4 linked regions of the Alligator mississippiensis genome follow. The protein of the gene in region 3 interacts with the protein of the main gene of each other region in a biochemical or structural test. Links are inferred from orthologs where the notes say so. Each region holds a gene or a part of one and is shown on either strand. Other genes may lie near its edges. The genes, in order: potassium voltage-gated channel subfamily A member 5, GUCY1A2, SNTA1 and WWTR1.

Region 1 (7,912 bases), on a different chromosome or scaffold from region 3:
GCACAAATTTGTACCACTTCTTTTTGCCACTGTGGACACCCCTGCCTGTGGGGGTATGGTGCAGGGCAAAATGCTCCACTTTGGGAGCTCCTTCCAGCTCCTGGTGTGCTGGAGGCACCAGGGGACAACTAAAGGAGGGGAGCAGCAGCCAGAGCATCTCCCTGGAGGACCCATCCTCTGTGTCTGCTGGCACATGCTCTTAAAGCATGCACCGTGCCACTTCTTTGCAGCAATTTTTTTGACACCGGGGTCTCCAGGTATCAAATTTTGGCACTGTGCTGCAAATTAGCAGCATAGCAAATGATTACATGTGTGCCACGTGCTGTTTGCAATGCCTCAGACAGCTTTGAGGTGCTACAAACCACATGTGCATGCTCATCTGCAGGTGCCCTTGGAGTTGGGGCTTTGTGGGCTCTCACCTTAACCTAGCACTATTTAGAGGAGATGGAGAATGGCTAGTGGAGAGCCCTCTGGTTGTCAGGCACTATCACCACAGGCATGAACGACGTGTGCCCCTGGACGCTACAGGGACACAATGAGCTCCCACAGGTGGCAGCGGCGGTGTTGGCAGCAAGGGCATGGCAGCAGGGAGCTCCCGCAGGCAGCTGCGGCGGTGTTGGCGGCGGGGCTGGTGTGGTGAGTACCTACAGGTCATCAGTGACCACCCGCGGATGCTACTGGCAGCATCAGCGGCGGCCAGCAGCGATCAGGGACTGCCAGCAGACGCCACTGGCGGTGCTGTTGGCAAGTGGGGGGGGGGAAGGGGGCGGGATGAGCATCGGCAGCACTTTTCGCATGGGGTTCACTGCCAATCTCAGGGGGTGCACATGCAGCCATGTGCACCCCCTACGCGTCGCCAATGACCATGGGGAAAATCAGAGGCATTGGTAGGAAAGGCCTGAGGCCTGGGAAGTCCTCAGATCAGGTGCTGTCTCCTCCTGCTGTCTACATTTAAGATTCTCCTGCCAAGAGAGCCCTCACCTCACAAACCAGAGGGCTGGGGATGTTGGGGTGGGAGGGGAGGGGAAGACGAAGGGGAATGTTGTAGTCTGATGCCAAGAAGAATAGGGGTTTCCCTATTAGCAGAGGAGAAGATACTGTACTTCCCCACACTGCCCCTTTACTTAACCCCTTGCTAGAATAATGAGCAGTAGCCAAAGTGGACATGCCTGCCTAAGAATCAAAGAAATCCCAATTACCATCCACCCTGCTCATCAGAGAGGACAAGTCAGACAGACACCAGCTATCCCACCTGCTACTGCTGTGAGACAGGCACAGGAGTTGTACAGGGCCACCTCTGCAGACGTGCACAGCTGGAAGCCTGACTGCTACAAGGACTGTTTGGAAAACTTTGTGGGTTTGGGTAGTAGTGGGAGTTGGTTTTTTGTTTTCATAGTTCATAGTTTCACAGTTGTGAGGGGCTGGAAGGGACCTTACAGATCACTGGGTCCAGCCCCTCCCGCATCTTTTGTTTTGGGGTTTGTTTGTTTTGGGCGGGGCAGTGGCACATGGGAACAGGACAGTGAGATTTCTGCTTCCTACATTATTTCTACTCTCCCATTCTGGGCCCTATCAGGAATAGGATTGACCCATCTTTCTGTGATACTCTCTGTCTCAGCATTCTATAAGATTTCATTAGGGATACAGTTTTGGGCCTTACTAGGTGTGTACTAATATGCAGGAGGTGTGTCTTCCTGAGTCTGCAAGCAGATGAAGTTATAGGGAGGGAGAGAATAACAACTCTTGTTCATTTCAGTAAGAGTTTGGACTCTGAGACCCCCTGAAGATGTACATGGCAATGTAGGTAATAGCTGTTAACTATTTTAGCTGAAACATCTAGCTACTCTGTGGGGTGCTTGAGTAGAATACCATTATTTCCCCTGAAGTCTCATCATCCTAAGAACCTAGGGTGGGGGCAGTGCACATCTTTGGTGAGGGTAATGACCATGTATGTGAGCAGGGGGCTGATTGGAGGCAGGGAACATCTCTTCCAGCATCCTCTCAAATTTCTCAATGCAGCAAGGACTGGCAATGGAGCTGAATGCTTTATTGAAGCATGTTGATACTTACTGAAAGCCCAGGCAGATGGCACTGGATAAAGAGAATGGCATGGGAAAGAAGCTAATGGAACAAATGTAGTGATATGGTGCCAGCATTTCAACAAGGGACTCCTGAAAAATACTCTTTTTCACTTGATAGTGCATATGACACTCCTTGGGATAAAACACTTACTGCCAACATATACATGTGGTTCATTGATTCCATGCTTTCCCCCACATAAAAGCATACCGATAGGCTGTGTTCAGGGAAAGCTGAGTACAGTTAAGCCCATATGTGTTTAGGGGAGAAGGGAATTGTGTGCGGGGAGTGCCTCTGGGGTGGAACATAAGTAGATGGTTGTTTCAGTGGTTTTGTGGATAAGTGTGGGTATGCAGTACATGTTTAAAAGGGTGGAAGTTTTGTGGCAGGTTGGCGCATAAATATGAATACCCAAAAACATTGAATATGTGTTCCTATGAAGGCATACCCCATACCATAGTGATGAGTACTGGGGGAAAGGGGAGGGGAAATTGTGGCAGTAGATGGGGTATATGCATTGCATTTGCACAGAGAGGTTTATGGGTTCATGCATTTCCAGAAGTATTATGGGCTTGCATATGTTCATGAATGAGTGAGCTTGCTTGTGTATACGTGGGTGGGTAGGTGGTATATGCAGGCTATATTATGTGTGCGCCATGAGGTTGGAGGTCACAGTGGATGAATGCAAGCATGGCTTACAAGTATTTGTGGATATGTATGTGTGACTTTGTGAAGGGGAAAGATTCTGAAGTGGGTGTGGAAATTGTAGGTAGTGATGGTTGGATACCAGACTTCTCTTCTAGAGTGAAACTATTTGCCTCATATCACCCTTTAGGGCTACCTCTGTGCTAACAAGTCGTGATGTGTGGCTCTGAACTGTATTTTAAATCCTTTGGAGGGCAGATGGTACCATTCTTGCGGATTGAAGTGCTATTCCACTAGTTTTACAGCTCTATCTCATGGACAGCTAAAGCGTAAATGCCATCCTGGGAAATAATACTACATTTGCAAGGTTGATATATTACCTGAAAAATATCGATGTTAAAAACAGTCTTGCAAACACACACATACTTTGGCTTATCTGAGTGCATAGTTGTACTGAAGTCAATGAGATTACTCGTGGAAGTAAAGTTATTCAGATTTGCACAGCTGGGTCCTGTGTTACAGCTGCATTATCTTACATGTCCCTGAGACTGTGTTTAGTCGTAGGAGGCAATTGACAGAATATGACCTGTCAGTGGAAAATAATCAGTACTAACAACCATGTATTATAAATATGTTTTTCCTATTATAGAAATCTTTAATATCTTGGGGCACATTTTGTGCATGAAGCTAATATTTTTTACATTAAGTTGAAATATTTCCTGTGAAGCTTGATATATTCCTATGGCCATAAAATAGTTTACCAAAGGGATTCAATATGAGTGTTGCTGTCATGATGAATCCTAGAGAAAGCGGGGGTAGGGAAGTTTTGCACTGCTGAAATATTTTACTCTATTTTAAAAACCCAGAAATCCACAAGAATATTTTGCTATGGATAGAATATGCATTTTGTGTAATGTGGATTATATTTTTCTTGCATGTTTATCGCATTCCTGTGTAGCTGCTGTGCAAAACTGAAGATTGCAAACAAATACCACAGCATGGGTTGCCCTCCTTACACTGTAAATGAAGAGACAATGGAGAGCAGACTCAGTTCACTTCCTCTCATAAATATACATCCATTGGTATTTTATAAAGTACTGACATACATTAAGAACGTGCAGGCATACAAAACATGAATTACCGCTCCAGTAAGTTGAATGGCGACATATAGATGTATCCTAATGGAAGCATTTGGTTTTCTGTTTTGTGTGACTCTGTAACAAACACCAGCTACCACCTTTTTTTGGAGACTAATCGCAACCTAGCTCTAAAACAGCTTTTTCTTTGTCTCCAGCGCGCTCCAAGTGGGCAACCCCTCCTCCCCCGGCAAAGCCCCACCAGGGTCCCTTGGGTGCGCTATTCCTTTCCCTGATTATTATTTTCATTATTTGTAAGTGCGGTTTTATAGCAGGAAAGACGGCGCGCAGCATTCCCTGCATAAAATCCCTTTAACAAATAATCCATGAATGGGGGCAGGCTGTGTAATCCTTTGTTTCAGCCTGTTCTGGCTGGCTGTGTGGGCGTGCGTGGGTGTGTGTGTGTGTGAGAGCCAGCACCAGGGGGTGTGTGTGTGTGTGTGCATGCATGTGTGCGTGTGCCAGAGAGTGTGTGTGAGCCAGAATGAGTGTGTGTGAGCCAGAGTGTGTGTGCGCGCCAGAGCATGTATGTGAGAGCCAGAGCAAGTGTGTGTGTGTGTGTCTGAGAGACAGAGACAGAGAAGGCTCTGCCTGCACCACAGCACGACAGTCTTAATTATATAACTTCACTTGCTCTTGTACCTCCCAAGGAGGGGAAATGGACGAGACAGGAGGACTGTCAGCAACTGTCAGTCTCCCTCTTTCTTTCCCCATCGCGCCGCAGCCCTGCCCCAAGGCAGCCGCAGGGGTTTCCCCCAGGTGTGAGGGAGGGGAAGGAGACTCTCCCAGAGGCCGGGCTGGGCTGGAAGGGGACGCCCGCCTCGGAGTGATGCCCGCTGCCCGTGCGCGGGAGGGAGCGGTGCCGGCGGAGAGCGCCGCCGGGGCGCACACTGCCATGCCGCGGGGGGCGGGGCGGGGCAGTGCGGTGCTCGCCGGGCGGGAGGATGCGGTCGCCTGGTAACCGGCGCGGAGGCTGCGGGCTGGCGGCGCGGGGGAGCCGGGATCCTCTGTGACGTCACAGCGGGGGGCTTGACGCCGCGGGCTGCTCGGCTCGCGCGGGCGGGCGGGCGCTAGGGGCCGGCCGGGCAGGGCAGCCCGGGGCCGGGCGGCCGCAGCATGCCCGCGCCCGCCTCCCGCGGCCGCCCATGGACCTGGCGCTGGTGAGCCTGGAGAACGGCGGCGCCACGGCCATCGGCGAGGATGCGGCGGGCCGCGCGGGGCGGCGGGGCGAGCTGCTGCTGCTGCACGGCCCCAGCCCCGCCGCCCCGGCGCGCCTCAGCCTGAGCGAGGGCAGCGCCAAGCCTCCGCCGCCGCCGCCGCCCGCCGCCCGCAGCCGCAGCGGCAGCGGCAGCGTGCTCCGGGCGTCCGCTCCGCGGGCCATGGAGGAAGGCGGGCACCGGCTGGGCATGGCCATGGCAGCGGCGGCGGCGGAGGAGGAGGAGGAGGAGGGCGGCGGCGGCGGCGGGGCCGGCTTGCAGCAGCGGGTGCTGATCAACATCTCGGGGCTGCGCTTCGAGACGCAGCTGGGCACCCTGAGCCAGTTCCCGGACACGCTGCTGGGCGACCCGGCCAAGCGCATGCGGTACTTCGACCCGCTGCGCAACGAGTACTTCTTCGACCGCAACCGGCCCAGCTTCGACGGCATCCTCTACTTCTACCAGTCGGGCGGCAAGCTGCGCCGGCCCGTCAATGTCTCCATCGACGTCTTCGCCGACGAGATCCGCTTCTACCAGCTGGGCCAGGAGGCCATGGAGCGCTTCCGCGAGGACGAGGGCTTCATCCAGGAGGAGGAGAAGCCCCTGCCCCGCAACGAGTTCCAGCGCCAGGTCTGGCTCATCTTTGAGTACCCCGAGAGCTCCAGCTCGGCGCGGGGCATCGCCATTGTCTCCGTGCTGGTCATCCTCATCTCCATCATCACCTTCTGCCTGGAAACCCTGCCGGAGTTCCGTGACGAGCGGGAGCTGCAGGTGCCCCTGCCCCCGGCCACCAACGGTACCCCGGGCCGCGAGCCCGCGCCTGCCGCACAGCCCCCCAGCGGCCTCTCAGACCCCTTCTTCATCGTCGAGACAACATGCGTGATCTGGTTCACCTTCGAGCTGCTGGTGCGCTTCTTCGCCTGCCCCAGCAAGCCCGAGTTCTCCAGGAACATCATGAACATCATCGACATCGTGGCCATTATCCCCTACTTCATCACTCTGGGCACCGAGCTGGCCCAAGAGCAGCCACAGCCCGGGACTCCTGCCACCAGCAACGGGGGCCAGCAGCAAGCCATGTCGCTGGCCATCCTCCGTGTCATCCGCCTGGTCCGGGTCTTCCGGATCTTCAAGCTCTCCCGGCACTCCAAGGGGCTGCAGATTCTGGGGCAGACGCTGAAAGCCAGCATGAGGGAGCTGGGGCTCCTCATCTTCTTCCTCTTCATCGGAGTCATCCTCTTCTCCAGCGCCGTGTACTTTGCTGAGGCCGATGACCCCGACTCCCACTTCTCCAGCATCCCCGATGCGTTTTGGTGGGCAGTGGTGACCATGACCACAGTGGGCTATGGGGACATGAGGCCCGTCACCGTCGGGGGCAAGATTGTGGGCTCCTTGTGCGCCATCGCTGGCGTGCTGACCATAGCCCTGCCTGTGCCCGTCATCGTGTCCAACTTCAACTACTTCTACCACCGGGAGACTGACCAAGAAGAACAGAGCATCCTCAAAGACGAGGCCAGCGGTGCCCAGGGTAGCTCGGCCGAGGGGGAGCTGAAAAGATCCAGCAGTAAAGACTCTCTGAGCAAATCTGTTGTGCACTTGGAAAACTGTGAAGGGATCAACAATGGCACCGGCTCCTTGGAGAAAGCCAATATCAAAGCTAAGAGCAACGTAGATCTCAGAAAATCGTTGTATGCGCTCTGCCTGGACACCAGTAGGGAAACAGACCTGTGAGAAAAGGCACTGAGTCGGGGTTCAGAGAGACAGCAGGGTTTGCTGGTATTGGAAACATTTATGATGTTGTTGTTGTTGGTGTTGTAATTATAATTTTGGTACCGCTTAGTACATTAAGTTTGACTATATTTTATAATTGACCACTGGTCTAAACAGACCTCCAAGAATACATGTTTTTATGTTCTTTTTCCATGACACAAAGGGTCACCTATTTTTAAAATAGACTAAGAATAAGTTACTCTCCATGATGCAGGAGCTGGTAAATTATTACAGTGCAAATGTAATTGGTAGACACTTATTTTAGCAAACAGTGACTTTAAATGGGTCGCATAACCAATTCACTTGCTCAAAGTTTAGTATTAAAGGGTTGGAAAGGTGTGCTTGTGTGTGGAGGGTGAATGGATTTTTCTTTTTGGTACTGTAGTTTCAAACTGAAATTATCTTGATATATTTTGTATCTGTATAACTGTATTTATGGGTGAAAGGAGATTATTTTTTCATGTGAAACATGACTTCATTAAAGCACTAGAAATGTTAGCTATGATACACTATCAGATTTCTCCTTGTGATCAGTTCAGATCTGGTTATCTAGTTTGTGAAGTGAATTTGGTGCTTTTACCCCTACAACAGAAAACTTTGCTGTTGATAAGATGTTAGTTTCTTGTGAGCCTTAATTTATTAAATATTATAGATATGTTTCTTTATAAATGCTTTTATTAATAATCTCACTGTTTCACAATTTTGAATAATTCAGTCCTGTGCTTTCTATCCCAGAAAAAAATATGCAGCTTATTTATTTTTTTGTAGTTTTCTACCATTGGTGCATTTGCAGGATTTTTTAAATATAGGATTTTGTTTACTGTTACTATTTTTGATCCAAGTGCACAACAGATCAAAAACATTAAGGGGTGGGTGGTAATAACTTGAAAGCTACTTACTGGTGCAGTATCTGCAAAAGTTTTTTGTTTTTGTTTTTTATTTTATTTACACTCCAAATTCCTTTAAACACATGTATCAGTCACACTGCAGATCTGTGCTGCTTTTGTAGACGGTTCACTGTTTTTAATTATTACATTTTGGAAATGGATGGCACATAAAGAATCTGACATCACATGGCTTATAGCTTGG
Region 2 (6,901 bases), on a different chromosome or scaffold from region 3:
TTTTGAAGGCAACAATTAAAGAACATTTTCCAAATATTTGTAAAATTGCCTGTAGCATACATGTGAATTGCATTATGTTGTTCTGACAATGTAAAGTTCTTGCTGGCATTCTTTTTTTCCAGCAAGAACTACACATAGGTAGTAAACAGCTACATAGTGGGTGCACCTCCATGTGTGCTTTATTGCGGAGTTGACTAATTAGCTCCACAGTAAGGCATCACAGTCTACGTGTGCATTGGTATTAAAGTGCAGTAAACTCATTAAATCTACTGTAGGATAATACTGTTGAGGGCAGTACTATGTTATGGCAGAGAAATAAAGGGTGCTGAAACACAGATGTAGCTGGTGACTGGACAAGTGCCAGACTCCTCCCTACCCCCCAGCCACATGACTCTGCAGGTTTTGCACCCTCATGCCCCAGCCAGCCGCTCTGGTGCCGCCACCCAGAGCCCGGGGCTGATCCCCCCAAGCCTGCTGCCAGCCCAGGCCAGCTCTGCCCCAGCTCAGAGTGCTGTTGTCCCAGGCAAATGTGTAGATGCCCGTGAGCAGTTCACTCTGGCTCATAGTGCTCTGGAATTTATCATGTTTCATTAATTGCATGTGTAGATGCACCCAGTTCGTCAGTAATGTGGAAACCCCAACACATTCCAATAAGACTTTTATAGCAGATCAGCTTATATTCTCTATGTACTGTAGTTATTGCTTGCATGTTGTATCATTGTCAAGAAAATCATTCAACTCGCAGATGTAGCTTGTCCCTGTAAACTTATAGCTGGGTCAACTTAAGTCAGATGAATGTAATTGAGTAACCTCACCTAACAGGCTCCAGAACTCAAGGAAGTCCTAGTCTTTCTAGTATTTTTGTTTTCCTCATATAAAACCACCTTTTGGTGATGATTGGTACTTTTCCAGAAGGTCCCTCTGTTTTGTTCAGTTTATTAATTTTTAGCCATTGTGAACATCAAATAGAATTTATCATGCCCTAGACAGACCACTGATATGTGTCCTACTGGAACAAACAGGTATTGGGCCTACTAACATGCATTCAATCTTTGTTCTTTGCAAAACTAACAGGTGATGTTGCAACACCAATTTTTGGCTAGCAGTTAGGTTTTCTCAGTGTGCTGTATCAGCTGGAACAATAGCAGCCTTGAGGTCCTAATTGCATTTTTTTATACTGAATGAACTTCAGTTGGCACATTATCTAAACAGTCAAGGAAACCATGTTTTACATTTTTTGTAAATGAATGATTTCTGTGCATGAGTAAATCCAGTTATAGTTGTAGTGACCTCAAGGACTGGAGTTTAAAATGAAAGATTTCCTTTTCCATTTTAATTGAACTCAATGTCATATAAAAATGTTACAAGGCCATGGATTTTTTTTTTAATATAGCAAGGAGTTTGCAAGGATCCAGAGAAAGTTTGATAATATTTGTTAGAAAATGGTAGTTTAGACTTTATTGTACGAAGAAAAAGAAATAGCCATTGAAAATTGTTGAAAGGATTGTGTGTTCTCTTACCATTTGGTTTAAAAGTGAGTTTCCAATGCTGAAAAAAAAAAATGTAAATACTCTGACCAGCAAGACACTTACTTTAAGTCCTACAAACAAACTGTGTGTATGATATGGAAACAAATGACTTGTATATACTATTTTCTTATTCAGCAATAATGGCTTTATAATCCACAAATAAGTTTCCACTACAGAGCTGAATCTTGTAGTCCTTATTCAGTCGTAATTCCCACTGAAGTCCATGTGAAGTCAGTGGGAGTGTGCTACACTAAGACTGCAGAATAAAAAAGAAAATGGAAAGCTGCAAGGCAAACCTTAGGAAGCAATCACAAAAAGAGCCCTCTGAACACAGCATGTTCCCACCTTTGATTTACTTCTTAAACACAGAATATACTGTTCATCCCTCTCAGAAGTGCTTGTTCAGGAGACCCAGCAATATTGGATCCTGTGATTGAAAGTTGTCAGGATTTTGGAAGATTTTATAATTGAGTGCTGTTGACATTGGTATAAGTGACTTAGTCCATTTTTTATCAGGGTAAAAGAAAGAACATCTATCCTTCCTCTAATTTTTAGGATGCAGAGAAATAGCTTTTGTGATTCAGTGAAGAAATTAACCTTACCATGTGCAGCAAGTGAAGGACATGGAGTCTCAGAGGAGCTACAGTGCTAAACTAAACTTTTCAGGCCTTTCTGTTCTAGATTAGCTGAAGGAATAATGAAGACTGTGCAATGAAATTCTGTTTCTACCCTAAAAATCATGCTTCTTAAAACATGTCAGTGCAAGTGTTTTAGTTCTTCCTAGCTCTGGTGTATAAGCTTTGGTCAGAAAAGTCCAAAGAAGCACAAGAATTGAGGTGGCAGGGGATCAACTTCCTTGTTTTAATGGAGAAAAATATTTCATATACATTTTTATAGGTTTTTAAAATTAAACTTGTTAGGCCAGGGGCATCCAGGTGATGGAATTGAAAAGAATGAATGGAGTTGCTTTATTATCTCCCCTTTTTAGGGATTCTAATTAAAGGCAGGAATATTTATACCCCTTTTCCCATCCACCTTTTTCCCCCATGCAGACACCTGGACTCCCTGTGTTATAGTGTGTGGTGTATTCGATACGACACAAACATCCACTGAAGTAAAAAAAAAAAGAGTCTACATTTGTTTCCAATGGGTTTTGGATCAGGCTGCATTCAGAAGTTTAACATTTATTGGTAAGAAGAGGGTGTGAAACATATACCAAAACATCACTGCATAAGCATAAAAATCGAGACCTTAAACCCACCCTACCCTCAAAATTAGCCTAAGAAGACCCAATCTGTCTTGTTGATAGCACAAAGTAATAACATTCACATCACGTTTGCTTGGGGCCTTTCTGCCTGGATAGACTACAAGCAATTGTTAAGCAGTTCATGGCAAAAATGTCTACTTTTTAAAAGCAAATGCGTGGCTTGAAGTGTTGAGGGGGTGGGGGGGATGAAGATTTAGGTGGCTTATCTTTCATTGTCTTCAAAAATGTCATCCTTCCTCAAAGCTCTGGTTAGCTTGCTTTCTTTGTCTTTTGTTGTTGTTGTTCTTTTGTAATAAGCTGTATTTGAACAGTGATGCGTGGCCTGCATTTTATCCTTGCTGTTTCTTTCTTGGATGCAGTACGCAGTCATAAAAAAGCAGGACTTGAGTGAAACCCTGAACTGAGACGTTGCCATCAAATATGACACGATCACAGCTTTTTTTGTGTGTTTATGAAGATCTCCCTTTCTCGGCTTTGGGAGTGAGCATCCAAAAAAGGGTGCAGGGGCAGTTGCTGCCAAACTCCTCTTGATTGTGGAGCGTGGAGCTTACAGGAGTTCATTTTGGTGAGAAACTCTTTACACAGGGCAGGATCTTCTAGGTGTCCATGTGGAAGACCTGTTCTGTGGATGGGGCATGTTTCATCTGCGAGAAAGTGACCTGGATGCCTTTCTGTTGTTAAGCTCTACAGGGAGAGCAGTAGCAGACACAACCTGCAGCCCTGCTACTCAGCTGCTGCTGCTGCGGCTGTGTAGACTTGTTGAGCTGGGTGTAGCAGGCATGGAGCTGTCCAGCACTGTTTCAGACAAGAAAATAAAATAAAGCCAAGCGTTTCTATTACAGGCAAAAGTAGAAACTGGCCTAGTTGGGGCCTGGGGAGGGGGAGGTCTTAATCAGCCCAACTGGAGGGAAGGAGGCGGGGTGGGGGTGCATTGGAGCAGGTGCCCGCAGCCTTTCTCCTGTGCCAAGGGGCGCGGGGCGGCGCGGGGCAGGCGCGGGTGCGGGGCGGGGGGAGCGGCACGTGATGCGGGGGGGGGGGCGGAGCGGGGAGGAGGCGGCGGCGGCAGAGCCGCGCAGGGGCGCCGGCATCTGCTTTAAAGCCTCCCGGGCAGCGGGCGCCGCGCAGGGCCATGAGCCGCTGCAGCGGCAGCAGGAGCAGGAGCAGCGCCCCGGGCCCGCGCGTGTGAGCCCGGCCGGCCGGCCGCGATGTCCCGCCGCAAGATCTCGTCCGAGTCGTTCAGCTCGCTGGGCTCGGACGGGCTGGAGACGAGCCCGGAGGACGAGGGCGAGTGCCCGCTGGCCCGCCTGTGCTGGAACGGCAGCCGCAGCCCGCCCGCGCCGCCCGCCGCCCGCCGCGCCCCGCGCCGCCGCCGCCTCAACCTCGACTCGCTGGGCGAGAGCATCAGCCGGCTCACGGCGCCCGCGGTGAGTGCCCGCCCGGCCCCAACTCCGCCCGGGACAAGCGCATCTCCGCCGCGCCGCCCTCCCTCTCCTGCCGCTTGGCCTTATCTTGCATTTCCCGTCTTAATTTGAAGCCGCTTCAACTAGGAGCAACCAAGTGCTGAGACCCCCGCCTGAGGGTGGGGGGGGGGGGGATAAAAATAGGAGCCCCTGCTGCCGCCTCCTCATTCCTCCTCTGCCCGCGGTGGCACGGGCTGGAGCGAGGCTCCTTCGGTCTCTGTGAGAAGCGCTTGAATGGACGCGTCTGGCCCTGAGCCTTCCTGAATTGCTGGGCACCCATTCCCAAATCCGTGCAAAAAAGGGCTCCTATGGGGCTTTTAAAGGATAGTTTGTTTTTTTTATTTAAAAAAAAAAGAGTAATAATTATAAAGCAGGTGGTGCTTAACTAGTGAATATGATTTTTTTAAATAAAACATTTATATATCCCCCTACATTTTTATTGTGTCTGCCTGACACTCCCATCTTTCCTCAAAGAGGAGACGTGAACTACTTTTCCCTGTCAGATTCCCCCCCCCCCCCCCCCCATTAGACACAGGGAAAAGTTGTTGAGTTTTCCCACTGTAAAATAGCCAGAGTTATAGGTCTGCACCTGTTCTACCACTCCGCTTGGAGATGTTAGTCCTTTAAAAATGCTCTTTGAAATCAACGGTGTATGAGTACTTGAGTCGGCATGTCGGATACTGAGGATTCGTGAATTGCTGAACAGTGTGTGTTACATACAACAATGTCCTTTTCAAAGACGGTGAAATTATTGCCCCAGGCAAGTCTGGATTAGGTTGTTTTGTGCACAGTAGAGGAATTATACTTACTTTACCACAAAACTGTTGAGCTCCCATAAATACATATATCATGATGAGAACATTTCACTGGGGTTCCAGTTGCAGATGAATGTGTTTTTGGCTCTAAGAGGCAGAGATTGTTTTGGCAGGTGAAGGTATTGATTTTGAGTTGCAACAGGTAGCATGTTAATATGTAACCTGGTTTGTATCTGCTGAATGATAAGGCAGTCACTACGCCTTTCTATATCCTATTATTCACCTTTGAATTAAACAAACATATCTGGTTAATCTCCAGTCCATGTGCAATCAAGGCATTGGTGTGCGAAGCATTTAACATGCTCTTTGTTCAGGATGACTTGGACTAAGTAGACAGCGGTAAACCAGTTGTTTTTAATAAGGAAAATGAATAATGCATCACAGCTGTATGATTTCACTAAGCAGTTTTCCCTCTCCAGGAGGAATGTGATTCTGCAATGCTGAATTTAATAGAAGACCTCTCAGGTGACCTGTCTTATATTATTATAAAATAAGTAAGTTATTTGATACCGTAGTAATACAGGTGCTATAATTAGAGCAATATATCCAATATAGTTAAACCATTCTGAAGTAGCTCAGTACAGTATTTTTAGATATTTAGCATTATTATTGTTGATAACCTCAGCATTTGTATTTTCACAGCTTTGACTGCTACCTTCTGTAGTGGGATGCTGTAAAAGGCAGCTTTAGAGGTTAATTTTAGTTAATCACTGCATCATTTGAAGACTAAACAAACAGAACCTAGAGGTAGAGAAACACTGCTGGATCATCTTATCCACCTTCCTGTCAGAGGCAGTTTTGGAGAGAGGTAGGTAGTTATGTTAGTCTGAAGTCAGGCAGAAGGCATAGTAGATTTACACCTCAGACTAACTAAATCATATAGTATAAGCTTTCACGGGCGCAAGATCATTTCATCACCCCTACTACCATCCCCAAGTTTAGTCATTCAAAAATGATTTGGGGAGTGTTGTCCAATCTGGCTTTTTGTTCCAAGCAACAGGGGTCCCACTGGTTTCCTTGGGAGAGAATTGCAATAATTCTTACTGTTTTGAAGTATTTTTCTTTTTTATATGCGTTGCCTAAAAGTCCCTATATTAATTGCATCTTGGCATTCTACCACTAGAGCTTGATTCTGATCTTACTCTGTTCTAAGTGAAGAAATGCAGCTGTAGGCATTAAATCACACTGGCACAAACCTGCTATGAGAGAGAGGAGAATGAGGCTTACTATCTAGTCTTGATATTGTATGAGTAGTAATTATTCCAAGTCATTATTTTGGTGCGTACTACTTATTGAAACTGTTCAGTGGTACTAACAAAACAGCTACAGTTGTGGGTAAGCACAGTAGAGTAGCCTTCTTGCAGACAGTCAAGTTATCATATCATATTTAATATGGCTTTTTTCTCACATCCACTAAAGTAAATCTGGAGTAATTACTTTGACTATAATAAAGTTATGTGGATATAAAATTAGTATAAGAGGAGGTTTGTGACCCTTATTTAATTTTGAAAGTCAAAGCCCAAGTAACACGCTCATAAAGACTGAGGAAGATGCTCCCAGAAGGAATGTAGCAGCAACACATGAACACGCAGTGTTAGATGCTTTCAGAGTTGAAAGATGCATTAGGGTTTTCAGGTTTATGTACAGCTGTAACCTTCTGCTCTGCACTTTTAATACAGAGATGGCTCAGTTTCATGTTCGGAGTAGTATCATTTTCCAGTTTTCATGGATGGAGAATAATAGTATTTGTGAGTAATACTGTTATGGCATGCAGAGGGCTCCCTGTTGTGATATTATTTCAATCTGGATGTAGCATTAGCTATAGAGAGT
Region 3 (7,442 bases):
TTCCTTGGAGGCATCTGCAATTGCACAAAGTACAAGATAAAAAGGGTCTGAAATATGGTATTCTTGGTAATCCTGCATGGAAAGGGAATACCATAAATGAACAAATAGGTACTTTCAATTTCTGATTGCTGTCACTCAACTATCTCAAGCAAATCCATCCCAGGAAACAAAATATATTCCATATTTGAGAACCCATCTCAAGCCAATCAACTGAAGTGTAAATCTCTGCAATGGCCTAGGAGAAAAAAATTACCTTTGTTTTATCCATCTCCAAAGCAGTTCCATCCAGTCTCTGAGGATGTTGCAAGCAGGCTTTGAAAATATCCGCCCCAGAGAAAAACAGTAGCAGAAGAAAGCCCTGATCCTGCCATTGGCTCCTGTCTTTGAAAATCTGTCACTGGAATGCAGCCTGGTGTGCACAGTAACCGTGCTGTACCAGCAGCACTACGCAAGGTTGTTTTCTTGATATAGGGATATCAGGAATAAGCTTTCCATGCACATTTTTCTCTGTAAACAAAACATAACTGGGAATACCAGAATGTTGTAAGCTTCTGTTTGTGCATTTTAAAAGCATCTTATGTTCTGTCACATAATTTATAGCGAGGGCACCAAACTCCCTTTGGTCCTCTCTCCCCCCTGGCCAGATTCAGACCCACCTCTGGTGGTGGGGTGAGTGGCCATGGCATTAACCATTGTGGGTTTCTGTGCCTCATGGTTTAATACACTCATTGCTCACCCCTCTGCTGCCAACACATGTCCTGACAGGCCTCCATACGCTCAAATCAGTGGTGGGACCCTGCGCTAGAACTCCCATCCCCTCCAGGTGCCCAGAAAGCCCAATAATAAAGTTCCACAGACCAGCCCTGGCCCAGAGACTGTATCTTTCACGTTACTGGTGTACAGGTTCATTGATTTTAAGGGTGCAAAGGATGGTTATAATTATCTACTCTGATGTCTGCATAATGGGGAACAGAGATCTTCACTCTAATGTTCCAGTAACTCATGGTCCTTCCACTGGGGGCTGTTGATCTTTAGGTCCCTGCACCGTCTCAGGCCTCCTGGAGCTGTCAGCCTTGAGTTGGGGTCCCTTTCCTCTGGGCCCTGTGCCCGGCACCCAGGGAACTTCTATGGAAGCCGAGCCCTCACTGGCTTCAGTTCCTGGCCTCATGCCAGGGGTCTTTCCCCTTTCCAGGCCCTGGTCTGGGCACTGGGGCTCTTTTAGTTTAATGCTGAACCACACTGAGGGGCTCCGGTTATCAGGCCTAGACCCAGGGCTAACTTAAGCAGCCTCGAGCTGCTCCCAAGGCCGAGTCTCCACGCACCGACCTATGCACCATGTGGGGCCCGAGCAGCCTCGAGCATGCAGAGAGCTGGCCCTGGGAGCAGCTCGAGGCTGCTCGGGCCCCACATAGTGCGCAGGTTGATGCGTGGAGAGTTGGCTGAGGAGGCCGGGGTGCCCAGCTGTTTGCCGGATTTGCCTCGAGTGCCTCCCAGAGCCTGAGCACCGTGCGCTGATTCAGGCACCATTGAGACTCAGGCGGAGTCCTGATGACGGAGTCACACTGGGCTTTTATTTACATTGGAGGCCCTGCCCCGAAGTCCGCTGGACCTGCAAAGCGCAGTCTTCAATCATGTCCAGGGGCTCCTTGCCCCCCGCTTCTGAGCAGGGGTGGGGCATGCCCCTCCCAGCTGTTACCTGATTGGTGGAAATGTTCCACCAATCTGAAGTGTCCTTCTCCAAGCCTGGTTTGCTGGGCAAAAGCAGTCAGCCTGTCACACAATCATGCATCATCACCCCAACTCTGTTCTCCATTTTTTGACAGTAGCCCTAGTTCTCGTTAAGAACCATGTTCCTTCCAAAATTGACACAGAATACCAAATGCATTGAGGGATCTTCAATCTGTTTTTTTTTCTCTCAATGATCAAAGTATTCAAAACAACCATCCTTGACCTTCAATATGCAGATGACTACACCACACTTGCACACACTGAGGAAAACATCCACACCATGCTGGATCTTTTTAAAGAAGCCTACTAAACTGTGGGCCTCTCAACATTGAGAAGACTAAAGTGCTTTATCAACCAGGCCATGAAGACAACCCCCTTCCCCAAATTACAATTGAGGGAAAGACCCTGGAGGTAGTCAAGCATTTCCCCTACCTTGGCAGCCACCTTTTTCAAGGAGTGAACATTAATGAAGAGTTCCAGCACAGGATCTGATGCACAAGTGCCTTCTTTGGGAAATTGCTTTGGTGTGTCTTTATTCATCAAGATCTCTGGAAAGACACCAAGATCTAGGTCCACAATGCAGCCATGATCCTCACCTTCCTCTGCAGATGTGAAATGTGGGTGATCTATGATCATCTCAAGAGCCTATAGAGGTATCATCAGCAATACCTCCAGAAAATCCTCCACATCAAACGGGAGGATTACCACACTAATGCCAGCATCCTTGCTGAAGCGAATGGTACCAGCATTGAGTCAGTGTTCCTCAAGCATCAACTTCACTGGACCAGACATAGTGTGCGGATGCCTGACTCTCGACTCCCAAAACAAGTGCTCTATTTCCAACTTAGCAATGGCCTGAGATCCTACAGTGGCCAAAGGGAATGCTACAAGGACACACTCAAGGCATACTTCAAGAAACAGATGGCAACATCAAGAGCTGGGAGGTGCTGGCTGCCAACTGACCCCAACGGCACCACAACCTCAACCCATTTTGAAGTAAAGCATCTTGCCCTCGAAGCAGAGAAGACAGAGTAGAGGAAGGAAAAGGAGAGGAATCCTTGCCTGCAGCCCACTCTCCCCTGCAGAAAGACCTACAACTCCTGCGGATGGATCTGTTGCTCAAGAATTGGACTCTTAAATCATCTCAAGACCCATCAGTGAACCATGGTAGAGACCATCCTTGAATCAAGGGATTGCCAATGATTTTAGTAATCCTTTACTCCTGAGCCATGACTCCACATGGCTAGATATCTGTAAAAATAGAAAAAGAACCAAATTACCTTCTGTTTTACCCAGAGACACAGATGCTGTTAATCTTAAATATATTGGTTTTGTTGTTCACTGAGATGAGTGGATCCTGTTTGTTAAGGATAAAAGGAAGATTTTTGAGGTAATATTTTTCATTGAACCAACTTGTAGAGCTAGATAAGACAGCAGATTCATGTATGCTGACAACATTTGATAAGGAGTGCTCTGGCTAGCCAAGCCACCCTTTGGGATGGGTACTTGGAACCATTGGTTTAGTTTCTTCAGAATCCTGTACATTTTCATTGAACCCTTCGCAAAGATGATTGATTTAAATTATCACTGGATTTATGAAGTTTTTGTGGGTATTTTGTCCAGAGATTTCTCAAGCTCTTGCAAGATGATATCGAAGACACAAAGGACAGATACAATCACATCCTGCTTCACTTCCCAGTTAAGTGGATCACCTATATGGCAGCTCTAGGAGTCTGCTAATATTCTTGATGCTGTGTGTGTTCAAGGTGCTGTTATGTCTCCTGTAGAGCCAAGAATAATTTGCATCCAAAGAGCTGGATAAAGTTTACAGGGAAAGAGCTTTGTGACCAGCTGCTTCCTACATCTGGCTCTCCTCATGCCCCAAGGCCCATAGCACAAGATTCTGAGGACAGGTACAGGGAACCAGCCAGACCAAAGCCCCATGCAAGGATCAAAGCATTGTAGAGGCATGAATGAATTAACCCTAACACTCCACAGGGGTGGGCAAGTCTGAGGGATGCTCATCCTCATTTTAGAGGGAGAGGGGACTTGAGGCAGGTCAGACTACACGAGTAGCAGAACTCAGAAGCCTGGTTATCCAGCACCCTGCTCTAAGCATCACCTTCTGCTCTCTGCTAACCTGTTGTCTGTTTAACTAAATGTACACCAGGAGAGATCAGGTGTCTTTCCCCTCTTTATTCTCCTAAGTTAATGTTTCCCATAGTTTTGATACTGGGGGTACACATTTTTATGGAGTAAAATGGGTGGCACATATCCGCTCCCTGGACCCTGCCGAGGTGTGTGGGGCTGGTGCAGCGTGAACCTGCTGTGTAGGGCCAGCTCTGCCAGAACCCGATCCTGCGCCACGGAGCGTGGCCGTTTGGTGGCGGGAAAGCGGCGGCCAAATATCGGAGCCGCCGGGACTGGGTGACGGCTCCTCCGGCCGGACCCCGCTGACACACACTTGGTGCTGGCGTCCTGCCACAGCCTCTGGGAACCGCTGTCTCAGCTCGCGCACGTAGCCGTGCCAGGGCGGCCGGGGAAGCAGGATGAGTCCGCGGGGCCTCTTGCCCTGGCTCAGGAGCGGCCGCGGCGCCGGCTGAGGCCGCTGCCCGCGGGGCCCCGGCGGCCGCGCTCGGGCGAGGTGGGGCGGGGCTCAAGTGCTGCGGCCGCTCGCGGCGCCCGGGCCGGCTGGGGGGCGGCACCCTGGGCGGGGAGGCCTCAGGCGGCGCCGCGGTGCCCGGGGCCCAGTCGCTGCCGACCCGGGCGGGCGGGAGGCGGCGCAGCAGCCGGTCCCGGAATGCGCTGAAGATGGCGGCGGGCAGGCGGGCGCCCAAAAGCGGGCTGCTGGAGCTGCGCGTCCCGGCCGAGCAGTGGCTGCGGGTGCTGGTGACTCTAGCCGAAGACTTCCTGAGCGTGAGCCCCGCCAAGGGCGCGGCCGCCGAGGAGCCTCCGGCCCCGGCGCCGCAGGACAGCGCGGAGTCCGGCGCCGCAGTGCCCGACGCGCTGGCCAACATCAAGCGCACGGTGCGGATCGTCAAGCAGGACGTGGGCGGGCTCGGCATCAGCATCAAAGGTGCGGGCGCGGGGCGGCCCAGGGGCGCCGAGCAACTTTGGGGCCAAACTTTGCGGCGGGTGCTGGGAGCGTGCCGGGCGCGGGGCCCGCGGAGCTGCTGTGCCGGCGCCGCCGCGGGCCTGGCCCGCGGCCCCAACGCGCTGCTGCCACACGCAGCTCCTTGCGGCGCTCTCCGCCTGCCTGGGACACGCGTCTGCTCGGGCTCGCTCCGCCGGTCCCTCGAGGCGGGGCAGCTGCCCGCAGAGTTCAGCGGGGGGCGGTTACCAGTCTTTATTTCAAAAACTTGGACGCTTCTTGTCGGGGGTGGGAAGAGCAAATCACTGCGGGAGGATGCTTCTGTCTGGGAGATCCCCAGGCTGCTCCGACCCGACTTCTTGGCTTGCCTGATGCAGCCTCTTCTGAGGCTGGAGGTAGAACCCAGCTGAGCCGGTTGGCTGCTGCTCAGAAATATCAGGCAAAAAAAGTTTAAAAATAGATGCCAGGGACAACGGGTTTCAACCGTTATATTTGCAGACCCCTAAAAATGTTGAAAGGCGGTGCAGGCACCTCTGACCTGTGAATGTGGGTGGTCACATACTTTTGACTGATCATAGTCATCTTTCACAGACCCCTTAGACATAGTCTGGGCCCCCAGCCCCCTGTGGAAACCACAGTTATGCCCCATACCTGGGGCAAGCAGAGCTGAGAATTGCTTTTCTCCCAGGGCTCTGCTACTGTTTCAATTAGAGTAGGACACATCTTCAGGCACTAATTTTGTAGCTCATTGGGTCTTTTTAAAGCAGGGGAGTCCTTCAGTGTGATAATTACTGTGGACATGTGGCCCATCTACATTTGTTGCACAATTCACGGTCAATTGCGTGATACATATCACATGTAGCAGGTCCCTCCTCCCCCTCTGTTTCTCTCCCATTCTGTGCCTTTGAATTTGGAATTCAGCTGTGTTTTGCAGAAGTGTTAAGGTGTTATTTGTCCTCCCCTTTGTAACTGAACCAAAAGGCTGTTCTACCTTTTTGCAGCCTATTAGCATCCCTTCATATTAGCCAGCACCAGGCAACAGATCTTGCTCCATAACACCTTGCCCATATCAGAAGTGACGATGAAAAATCCGCAGTCCACACCACTTGTCAGATTTAACCTTCTAGGGGGACTGAATTGTAAAGGCACCTCTGTCAACCCCATCAGCACGACTTGAAAGACCTCATTTGTACAAGTTTGCTGCACTAAGACACAATGGAGAAGTTGGCACAGTGTGTTGAAGGAGCTCTGAGTAATAGACAGTGTTAACACAAAATAAACCAGGTTTTGAAGGTATAATTTTCTTGAAGCGGCAGGACGCATTTATTTATTTTATCTGTTAAAGTTTCTCAAGCAACCTGGAAAAAGTGCAGCTTTGACCTTTAGAATCAAAGATGGAGGTAATGTACCTCTCCAGGAAGTTGAGTACATTCACAGAAGATGAAAGGAAGTGATTTTAGGAAAGCTAATCTATTGCCATGCCCCTTTAAAAGCTAGGTCCTTCCTTTAAACTTACACCCAGTGTTTTTCATATTTTTATTATGAGCCAAATGCAAGAGTGAAATAGAGTCCCTCCAAACTATGAAGATTTGGGGCAGAATCGTATTTTACTTTGTGTGCCCAAGTGCCAATTTTCCACCCTTCTAATTGAGAGTTTAGCGTTGACACAGTTTGCAATCCTGTCTCTATATAGCATGAATGTGCATCCACGTGACTACTGAGCATGTTTAATGTGAAGGTATATATGTTCCAAAATTTCAGTCTGGCAAAAAGGAGGGCCCCCTTCCCATGTTTTAGTGTCAAAGCCATCAGAAACAGGAGATTTACGTTATGGACCCCCATTCCTCCCATGCAAGATGGCTTATAAACCTGGATCTTTCTGACTTCCAGGATGGCGCGCTGGGTATAGGTGAGGCATTATTCAGCCGTTCTTCTGAACCTGAGTTGCTGTACTTTGTGTTTAATATTCAATGGATAAACAGGTATTTCTGGTGCACTGGGAGAAAGGGCCCAGATTAGAATATAGGATCTGCTCCCTTGCAGAGGGCCAGACCATAAAATAAATGCATAACATATGGCCTGGTGATTAGAACATTGTGCTTTTGGGAAGTTGAAGAGGTGGAACATGATCTATATACTAGATTTTTTGCTTCCTGGGTAAGTGTGTTAGCTACCCAGGTATGGGATGTAAAGCATGAGAGAGCCCCCCTCCTCCTTTTCTGGCATCTAATAACCTGCTATTTGTGGAGTAGCAGGTGGAAAGAATTCCATGACTTGGCTTGTGCAGAGTACGTGTGTATGGAGCTGCATATCTACCCAGCCAGAGTGCAGCCTGCCACACGTGTTTAGTAACTTTATGGATGGTTGCACAGTGCATGTGGACTAACTTCACAATTTGTAAGTGGCACAAATGGCAGTTGCACAGCTGGAAAACAGCCATTTGGGTGTATAAAGTGAATTAAGTTTCTTTCTGCCCTTGGTGTTCTCAACCCACAAACTTGGTCAGTCTCCCAAGAACTGTGGCTGGCAAGGAGTGGGGAAGAGGACAGGACATTTGCACAAGCTGAATAAAGCACAGAAAGCTAGCAGCTGGCCCAAATTCTAGTGGCAAAGAATGGAGACA
Region 4 (7,304 bases), on a different chromosome or scaffold from region 3:
ACCGAAGATGGTCGCGGTGCAGGGGGGAAAACTTGTTTGAGTTGCAGTTACAGACAGAAAAGAAGAGAAGTGGACAAGAGTTCCTTCCACGCGAACCTCTAGCCCAATCCGGTTGAAGGCTCTAAACACGCGAGCCCGTCGTGTCAACCGAAGAAAACAACTCGGAGAAAGAGCTCCGGATACACTCACATGAAGTTTTCTAGGCTCCGTGGAACTTGCGCGCAGGGAAGGGGTTCGTCGAGGGATCGTTCGGTGACGGGGAGAGGCCAGAGATTGATCAGACCCCTATAGCCTTCTCAAGGTATACGCTGGGTCCAATAGGCTCCGCAGCGCTTGGAGATCTTCACGAGATGTGAAGTTCTCCTCCTCCAGATGGTTGTGGAGTCCTCCCTTGCGGAGTTCTCCAACTTGGGCGGAAACCACTCAAGCCTCTTATACAGCTAGCAAGCCAATCACTAGCCGCCACGTGGGAATAATTTAGAACTGGCCAATAGTGGGACACAAATTTGCATGCGGGTGGCAGGAACTCCTTTGCACCGTGCATTTCTCTTTGCAACTAAGAAATGCACCCTGCAAAGAAAGCTCCGAGCGGTGGGAAATAATTTAGCAGTGCCGAAGTGCGCACACACAAAATCACACCCTTGGGTTGTGACACCTCCCACCAGTGTAGGAGCACTAGAGCAGTGTTTCTCAACCCATGGGTTGTGACCCAAAAGTGGGTTGTAAGAATATATGAAAGGGTAGCAAACAAACTTTAAAAATGGATTCTTCTTTAAAGGAGAAAAACTTAGGAAACCATGGCTTTTCTCTTGCAGGCTGGCAGAGTTCTACATTTTTAAAGTTTGTTTGCAACCCTTTCATATATTCTTGTGACCCACAAGTTGAGAAAAGCTGCTATACAGTGGGCGATATCCTCCCTTTCCTTCCCCCGTAATTTACTAAAGTGTGATTTACTCAATAGCACATTAGGAAGAAACACTAGCCACTTGATAATTTATGTGGTAGCTTTGAACCCAAAGACTGCAAAGACTCTGTATAGTAAATATAGCCTAGAATATAAAAATAACTTATTTTGGAATAGAATCCATATAAGGAGTTATTCCAGAATAATTGAGAGTGAATTTCCCCACACAGACAACCGGGATTGTTTTACATGATTGGTAAAGCAGGTTAGGGTGGGAAATAGCAGACTACAAGGGACCCACCTTGTATTGTGAAACAAACCAAAGGCTGAATGTCTTTAATTACCTGAGAAATACTCTAATCGGTTAATAATGTACCTCTTAAAAGCTATAGAAACAAACTTGAGCCTTAACCAGTTTGTTTTTACAAACACTGCCGAAGACATTGGCCTACATATTTACTGGGAAGTGAGTTTTTTAGAAAAACAAATCAAGTTTAACACTTTTAATCAGTGTGTCATATCATTAGGGACTATCTCAAGTACCAATATAAAATGCTTCCTTGGTTTGACTGGCTACACAAGACCTGTTAAAATGTAAAACCACATGCCTGTATTTACGTGAATCCGTTTCCTAAATCAAGTTAAAAATGAAATGAAGTGACTTTAAACAGGGCTCCCTCCCCCTCAGACATGATAGCAGGTAAACATTTTCTAGTTAAGGTTGTGGGTCCCTTAAATATATAGCACATACTAATGGATATGGCATAAGTGCAAACAGGAGGATGAAGTTTTCTTTGACCCTTTGTTCATAATTTAACAGTTACTTAATTACCCAGGATACAAGAGGCCCTTCAAAGAAATCCTGAACATTTTCTTCTACAGATTACACTTGGATCTTCACTTATGAAGGCTTTCCAACAAAGATCCTTTTTATTTACATGAAACATAACCATAAAGTATTGGTGGACTTAGTCAAAAAACACATGCAAAAAATTGGGATGACTTTCCTGTAAAGCAGGGGTGTCAAACTTGCATTTGAAAGTATCCCTAGTACCTGGATTACTCACTGGAATTTGGATGTTTCTTTTGACCACCTGCAATGACTATACTTAAGCGTTGTTATGCAGATCCTTCACAGGAGTGAGCTATTTAGTTACTGCACCATTAACATCTGTTCATACTGCAGAATATTATAGAAAATAATGGTATTTTCTTAGTGCTGAAGTAATCTTCAGAAAACTCACTGACATGCAGTGCAAGAGGATTTATGTTCTTGTAGTTTAGAACACAGAGATAAGAATGAAAAGCATCCTGGCTCCTATTCATTACTCTGCTTCTAAATTGCTAAATCCAGTGCTCAGCTCACTTTAGTCAATTACCTTCTATTGACTTCAGTGGGCACTGAATTAGCTCCTCTAAGAGCCTGTTTCTGTGCTTCAGATTACTTCTCTGTAAAATGGGGGGGGGAAGATGCTACGGACCTTAATTCAATGTAAACTTCTAAATTATTTGGATCAGTGACTGAAGCTGCTATAAATCACAGAATGGAACTACAAGACATGATTATTCAGTGATAATTCTAAACAAGGAAGAAGTACTTATGATATTGTTTACAAATTGTAGCATAAATTCTGATTATACTCACTTGTGCAGTGGCATCTTGTTCTGCAAATGGTCTACAGATCTAAGTGAAACAAGATGTTATGCCATGGGGAAGTCAATATCAGAGTCTGGCCTTACTGGCATTTAGTCTAAAGAAGAATGCAGCTTGTGAACAGGTGTGCTTGCACTGAGAAGAGAACGTAATGAACCTGTGTGAACACAGCATCATCAAGATGAATAAAGAAATGCATATAAAAAATCTTCTATTACTTGAAATTCTTAAGCAAGGATATTTCAGGAAAAAAAAACATGCTGGCTGTCTTGAATAACTTTGGAACATATGCTACAACTAGCACAGCTGTCTGAGCTAGTGAAAATAAAAGTCACCCAGTAAGGAAGCAGTGGAAGAGATGGGGAGGAAAATTCCCAATGAACGGAAGCATAAAAAAACTCTTTTAGGAGTACTGAGTTTCCGGGTTAAAAATCTAACAACTGTAGCATGGAGGAATACAAGGGATATAAAATATGCCAAGCTAGTGGAAATACAAGCAGGAAATGTAAGAAAGGAAACTGTTGAAGCACAGAATGGGGGAGTTGGCCTACACAAGGTAAAGTGATGCCTATCTCCAGGGATCTGTGTCCAAAGATGCTATTTGAAATAAAAGTGTTTGGATTGCTAATCTGAAGACTTGCTTTACTATTGTTATACGTAAAACTAGTTCAGGGGCAGGGTTGAATGGGACTTGCACAAAGGCTAGTAAGAAGAGATCTAAGTTGAAGCAGCCAAAGGTAGTGCATAGCAGCCCAACGTACATATAAAGGCAAGTGGAATATGCATGGCATATTCAGGAAAATAGCTTGTTTAATGAGAGCTAGCACAGATTCTGATGAATGAGGGAAAGGTATTCTGCATTCAGCAGAGCCTGAAAACCGCTGGGACTCGAAGGAAAGCTGAACAGGCTGGTGGAAATGTGTAACAAAATCCATCACAAGCATGAGAGTGGTGTGCCTGGGTAATGAATGATACAGAAAAAATGGTTATGTCTACACCTGTACAGATTGAAAGCAGAAGAGAGAACAGGATAATCCTCCTGCTATGGAAAACCTAATATCCAAAGTCACAGGTGAACTGTGCTTTCCTTTTTACATAAAGATTTTGCCCAGTTTGGGGCTTTTTTGACAACTTTGATGCGACAATTAAAAAAGTGTTGCAAGTACCCCAAAAGTCTTCCACGGGAAAAGGAGCTTCTGCCATGCCCGATGGGAGTGGAAGTGTATGTGAATGACCTTTCGGCACAGGGGAAGTCTGCAGAACAAGTTCCCCTGGCTCGGAGCCGCAGAGACCGCACAGCCGCTGCACAGATTGACCGTGGCTTGAGCGCCGGGGTCGGGGCTCTCCCGCGCGCAGAGAGCCTGCGCTCACTGCCCGCCCCCGCCTCCCGGCCCGTGCCGGCGAGGGGCTGCAGCAGCGACTTGTAACAGCGGAGCCCAGGGCGCCGCCCGCCCTGCCACAGGGCTCGTCCTTCACCGCTCAGGCTGCGGCGGAGGCCGGTGCCCGGCCGCCCCTGCTCCTTCGGCTCCCGGGCCAGTCGCAAGGGGCCAGGACAAGCCTGGAGCTCCGGTTACAAGCATGCACCGCCCCGCTCCCCTGGGGCCGGGGCTGCCAGAGCCCGGCAAGCGCACGGCTCTTCCTCCTCTCGCTACCAAATATGGTCACAGCGGGGTGCTCGGGCTCGGGCTCGGCTCCGGCCAAGGGCTCGTTCCGCCACTGGCCCGTGCGCCCCTGCCCCGGCGGTGGCGGGGCCTGGGAGGCGCAGGGGCGCCGGCGGCTCCCAGCGGGCAGGACAGGCCGGGGCTCGGGGCAGGCAGGGGCGGGCCCTGGGCACCAGCTCCTGAATAATGCAGCGGCGCCGCGCCCCGGCCCGCCCCGGCCCGCCCCCGCGGGGCTCAGAGTTTTCCGCAAACTTTGTGCGGGACAGTCCCGGCGGCGGCGGCGGCGACCCGAGAGCGCAGCGCGGCGCAGCGCAGTCCCGCGGCCCGGCCCCGCCGCTGCCGGCTCGGGACAGGCGAAGCCCCGGGACGAGCGGAGCTGGCCAGGCCCCGCCGCGGCCGCAGCTCGATCCCCGGCCCGGCCGTGAGCGCCGAGCCGCCGCCCCGGCCCGCGCCGCCTGAGCTTCGGGGCAAGTTGCGGGAGTCCCGGCGGGCCCCGCCGCCGCCGCCACCCGCCCGCGCCCGTCGGGGCCGAAGATGAACGGGGCGGGCGCGCCGCCGCCGCCTGGCCAGCAGGTGATCCACGTCACGCAGGACCTGGACACGGAGCTCGAGGCGCTCTTCAACTCGGTGCTGAACCCCAAGCCCAGCTCGTGGCGGAAGAAGATCCTTCCCGAGTCCTTCTTCAAGGAGCCCGACTCGGGCTCGCACTCCCGCCAGTCCAGCACCGACTCGGGCAGCCACCCGGCCCGCCTGGGCGCCGCCGCCGCCGCCGGGGCGCAGCACGTCCGCTCGCACTCCTCGCCCGCCTCGCTGCTGGGCGCCGCCGCAGCCGCCGCCGCCGCCCCGGGCTCGGCGCAGCAGCACGCGCACCTCCGCCAGCGCTCCTACGACGTGACCGACGAGCTGCCGCTGCCGCCCGGCTGGGAGATGGCGCTCACGCACACCGGGCAGCGCTACTTCCTCAAGTGAGTGCCTGGCCCGGCCCCGTGGGGTGGCTGCATGTGGCTGGAGGGGGGCCCTGGAGCCGGCTGGCGAGGGGAGGGGCTGCCTGTGACCTGGCCCTGGCTTTGGGTTGAGCTTCTTGGTGAGCCAGCGCTCTTGGCCGTGAAGAGCAGGTAGCCTGCCCTGCCAGGGCTAGCACCGCTGCCCTCCAGCCAGGCTGCCTCAGACCGCAGCTCCCGTCTAGAAATCGGGGTAGGTGGGATTCATTGAGATCATCGAGGGACCCGTGAGCACCCCCACCCCTGTTTTTCTGTTGTCAGGGTCATTGGTGTGACCTGAGGTTAAGTACAAACTGCTAAAGAGCTTCACCAGGACTAGAAGGGATGCCTGTTGTTGCTCCTGGGGGCTCAGTGAGCATATGCCTTGTTGCAGGGTGTGAAATGGGCCCAAAGCACTCCTAGAGACCAAATACAGGTTTCTCTTGATTTATGCAGGTTCTTTATATGCAAATTTGCTCTTATGTGATGAACATATTTAGACCCATAATTTGTTGTATACAGGGTAAATTCCTTCTTATGTGATCAGCATAGATACCCCCCCCCAAGCAGGTAAGTCTATGGGGGGAGGGGAAAGGGCTATGGCCCCACTCACCCCAGTCCTGCCTAGAGCAGCTGGTTCCAGCTGCCTGTAGCCACTGGGCTGTACCTCTGCCTGTCCCCCCCACGCCTGGGCTAACCCCAGCTCCTGGGCTGCACAGTGCTGTGTTGCAGGCAGCTGGTGTCGGCTGCTCTCAGGGCTACACCAGCACGGACTGGGGTGTGTGTGGACAGGTGGAGCCCCAGGCAACATGGGGTACAACACTCACCCCAGCTCTGGTTGCAGCAGCCCAGGAGCTATTTGTTACATTGTAAAGTGGGTATGCTTTATACGAATTTGATTTATGCACTGGTCTCTGGGAATGCACGTGTAGCATAAATGGAGGGAAACCTGTAGTTGTTGGAGAGGTGAAGTTTGCCTTTCCCATTGTTTCCCTTATAATGAATGTCAGCATTTCTGTTAAATAACTGAGAAGGAAAGTAGCAAAAAAGGGCATTCAGAGTTAATGGGTTTTGGTATCATTGCCAGGGCTTCACAGGTTGTAATTATACGTCTCCCTCTTTTATAGCACTTCTTATCTTTTGACCTCAGAGTACTTATAAAGGTTGTATACATCATTATTCCCAGAATACAGATGAGAAAAGCAAGGTACAGACAGTTGAAGGGACTTGCCCAAGGTTACCCACCGAGCTGGTAATAGAATCTAGGGGTATTTGCAGATGGACTCGTTTTGGTGAGGTAAAAGGGACTAGGAATTTACCCACATGTTAGTTGATCCACAGTAGCTACCCATGTGTATGCCATTAACCTGTGAAAGATGAAAGCTAAGCCATGGTAACTTAGACATCAGTGGAAGCGCTTTTCATTCAGGGCAGTTGAATGAATATTCTCTCATTTTCCATGGGGCAAGAGCATGCATATGGACAGTTCCCATAGAGCAGCTGTCATGGTAAATCCCTGCCCCTTCTTGCTTTGCTACAGCAAGCTTATCTGTCCATGCCTTAACACCACTCAGTCCTAGGCCAATACTCTATCAGCTTAGCAAAGCAGCCTCTGTAAATAATAATACCAAGCCCTAATAGAACACTTTTTATCAGTAGCTTTTAAAGTGCCTTGCAAAGTAAGCAAGCATGATTGTCCCCATTTTAAAGATGGCGAAACTGAGGCAGCAGGGTGATGTGACTTAACCAACATCACACAGTAGGCTAGTCACAGAGCTAGGAGTACCACCTCAGTCTCTTGTGTTTTAAGTCAGATACTCTATATCAGTTAGGCCAAGTCGCTGTACATTTCTTTCCATCTGTGAACTGAAAAGCTCTTCTATTAAAACAGTTTTTGCCAGCATTTGGTATGCCAGACACACTATTTCCATATTAAAATTGGTGGTACACTTAACTTTCGGTGGCCTGCAGGCCAGATCTGGTCCATGGGCCCAATCCTGCATGTGGGTCCTTATCCAGCTGCTAGGAGCCATGTGGGTGAAACCTCATTCTGCGAAGGCAGACTGGCCAGGTTAGGGCCCAATCCAACCCAATTTTTACAGCAT

What was found.
Region 1: the proteins of SNTA1 (region 3) and potassium voltage-gated channel subfamily A member 5 interact in a test that uses a peptide from one of them, tested with the Homo sapiens proteins (2 studies listed by BioGRID and IntAct). The link is inferred for Alligator mississippiensis from reciprocal best matches to the Homo sapiens genes SNTA1 and KCNA5.
Region 2: the proteins of SNTA1 (region 3) and GUCY1A2 interact in a test that uses a peptide from one of them, tested with the Homo sapiens proteins (3 studies listed by BioGRID and IntAct, with this or other methods). The link is inferred for Alligator mississippiensis from reciprocal best matches to the Homo sapiens genes SNTA1 and GUCY1A2.
Region 4: the proteins of SNTA1 (region 3) and WWTR1 interact in a test that uses a peptide from one of them, tested with the Homo sapiens proteins (2 studies listed by IntAct, with this or other methods). The link is inferred for Alligator mississippiensis from reciprocal best matches to the Homo sapiens genes SNTA1 and WWTR1.

What each region holds. Positions count from the first base shown.
Region 1 is NC_081827.1:141,490,578-141,498,489, reverse strand, and holds potassium voltage-gated channel subfamily A member 5, read left to right. Parts: upstream 1-4,903; 5' UTR 4,904-5,005; coding exon 5,006-6,784; 3' UTR 6,785-7,509; downstream 7,510-7,912. UniProt on the Homo sapiens protein: Voltage-gated potassium channel that mediates transmembrane potassium transport in excitable membranes. Forms tetrameric potassium-selective channels through which potassium ions pass in accordance with their electrochemical gradient.
Region 2 is NC_081824.1:437,938,498-437,945,398, forward strand, and holds the start of GUCY1A2 (guanylate cyclase soluble subunit alpha-2), read left to right. Parts: upstream 1-3,888; 5' UTR 3,889-4,001; coding exon 4,002-4,220; intron 4,221-6,901. UniProt on the Homo sapiens protein: Has guanylyl cyclase on binding to the beta-1 subunit. Isoform 2 acts as a negative regulator of guanylyl cyclase activity as it forms non-functional heterodimers with the beta subunits.
Region 3 is NC_081832.1:27,973,444-27,980,885, forward strand, and holds the start of SNTA1 (alpha-1-syntrophin), read left to right. Parts: upstream 1-4,438; 5' UTR 4,439-4,539; coding exon 4,540-4,804; intron 4,805-7,442. UniProt on the Homo sapiens protein: Adapter protein that binds to and probably organizes the subcellular localization of a variety of membrane proteins. May link various receptors to the actin cytoskeleton and the extracellular matrix via the dystrophin glycoprotein complex.
Region 4 is NC_081830.1:61,395,954-61,403,257, reverse strand, and holds the start of WWTR1 (WW domain-containing transcription regulator protein 1), read left to right. Parts: upstream 1-4,300; 5' UTR 4,301-4,753; coding exon 4,754-5,184; intron 5,185-7,304. UniProt on the Homo sapiens protein: Transcriptional coactivator which acts as a downstream regulatory target in the Hippo signaling pathway that plays a pivotal role in organ size control and tumor suppression by restricting proliferation and promoting apoptosis.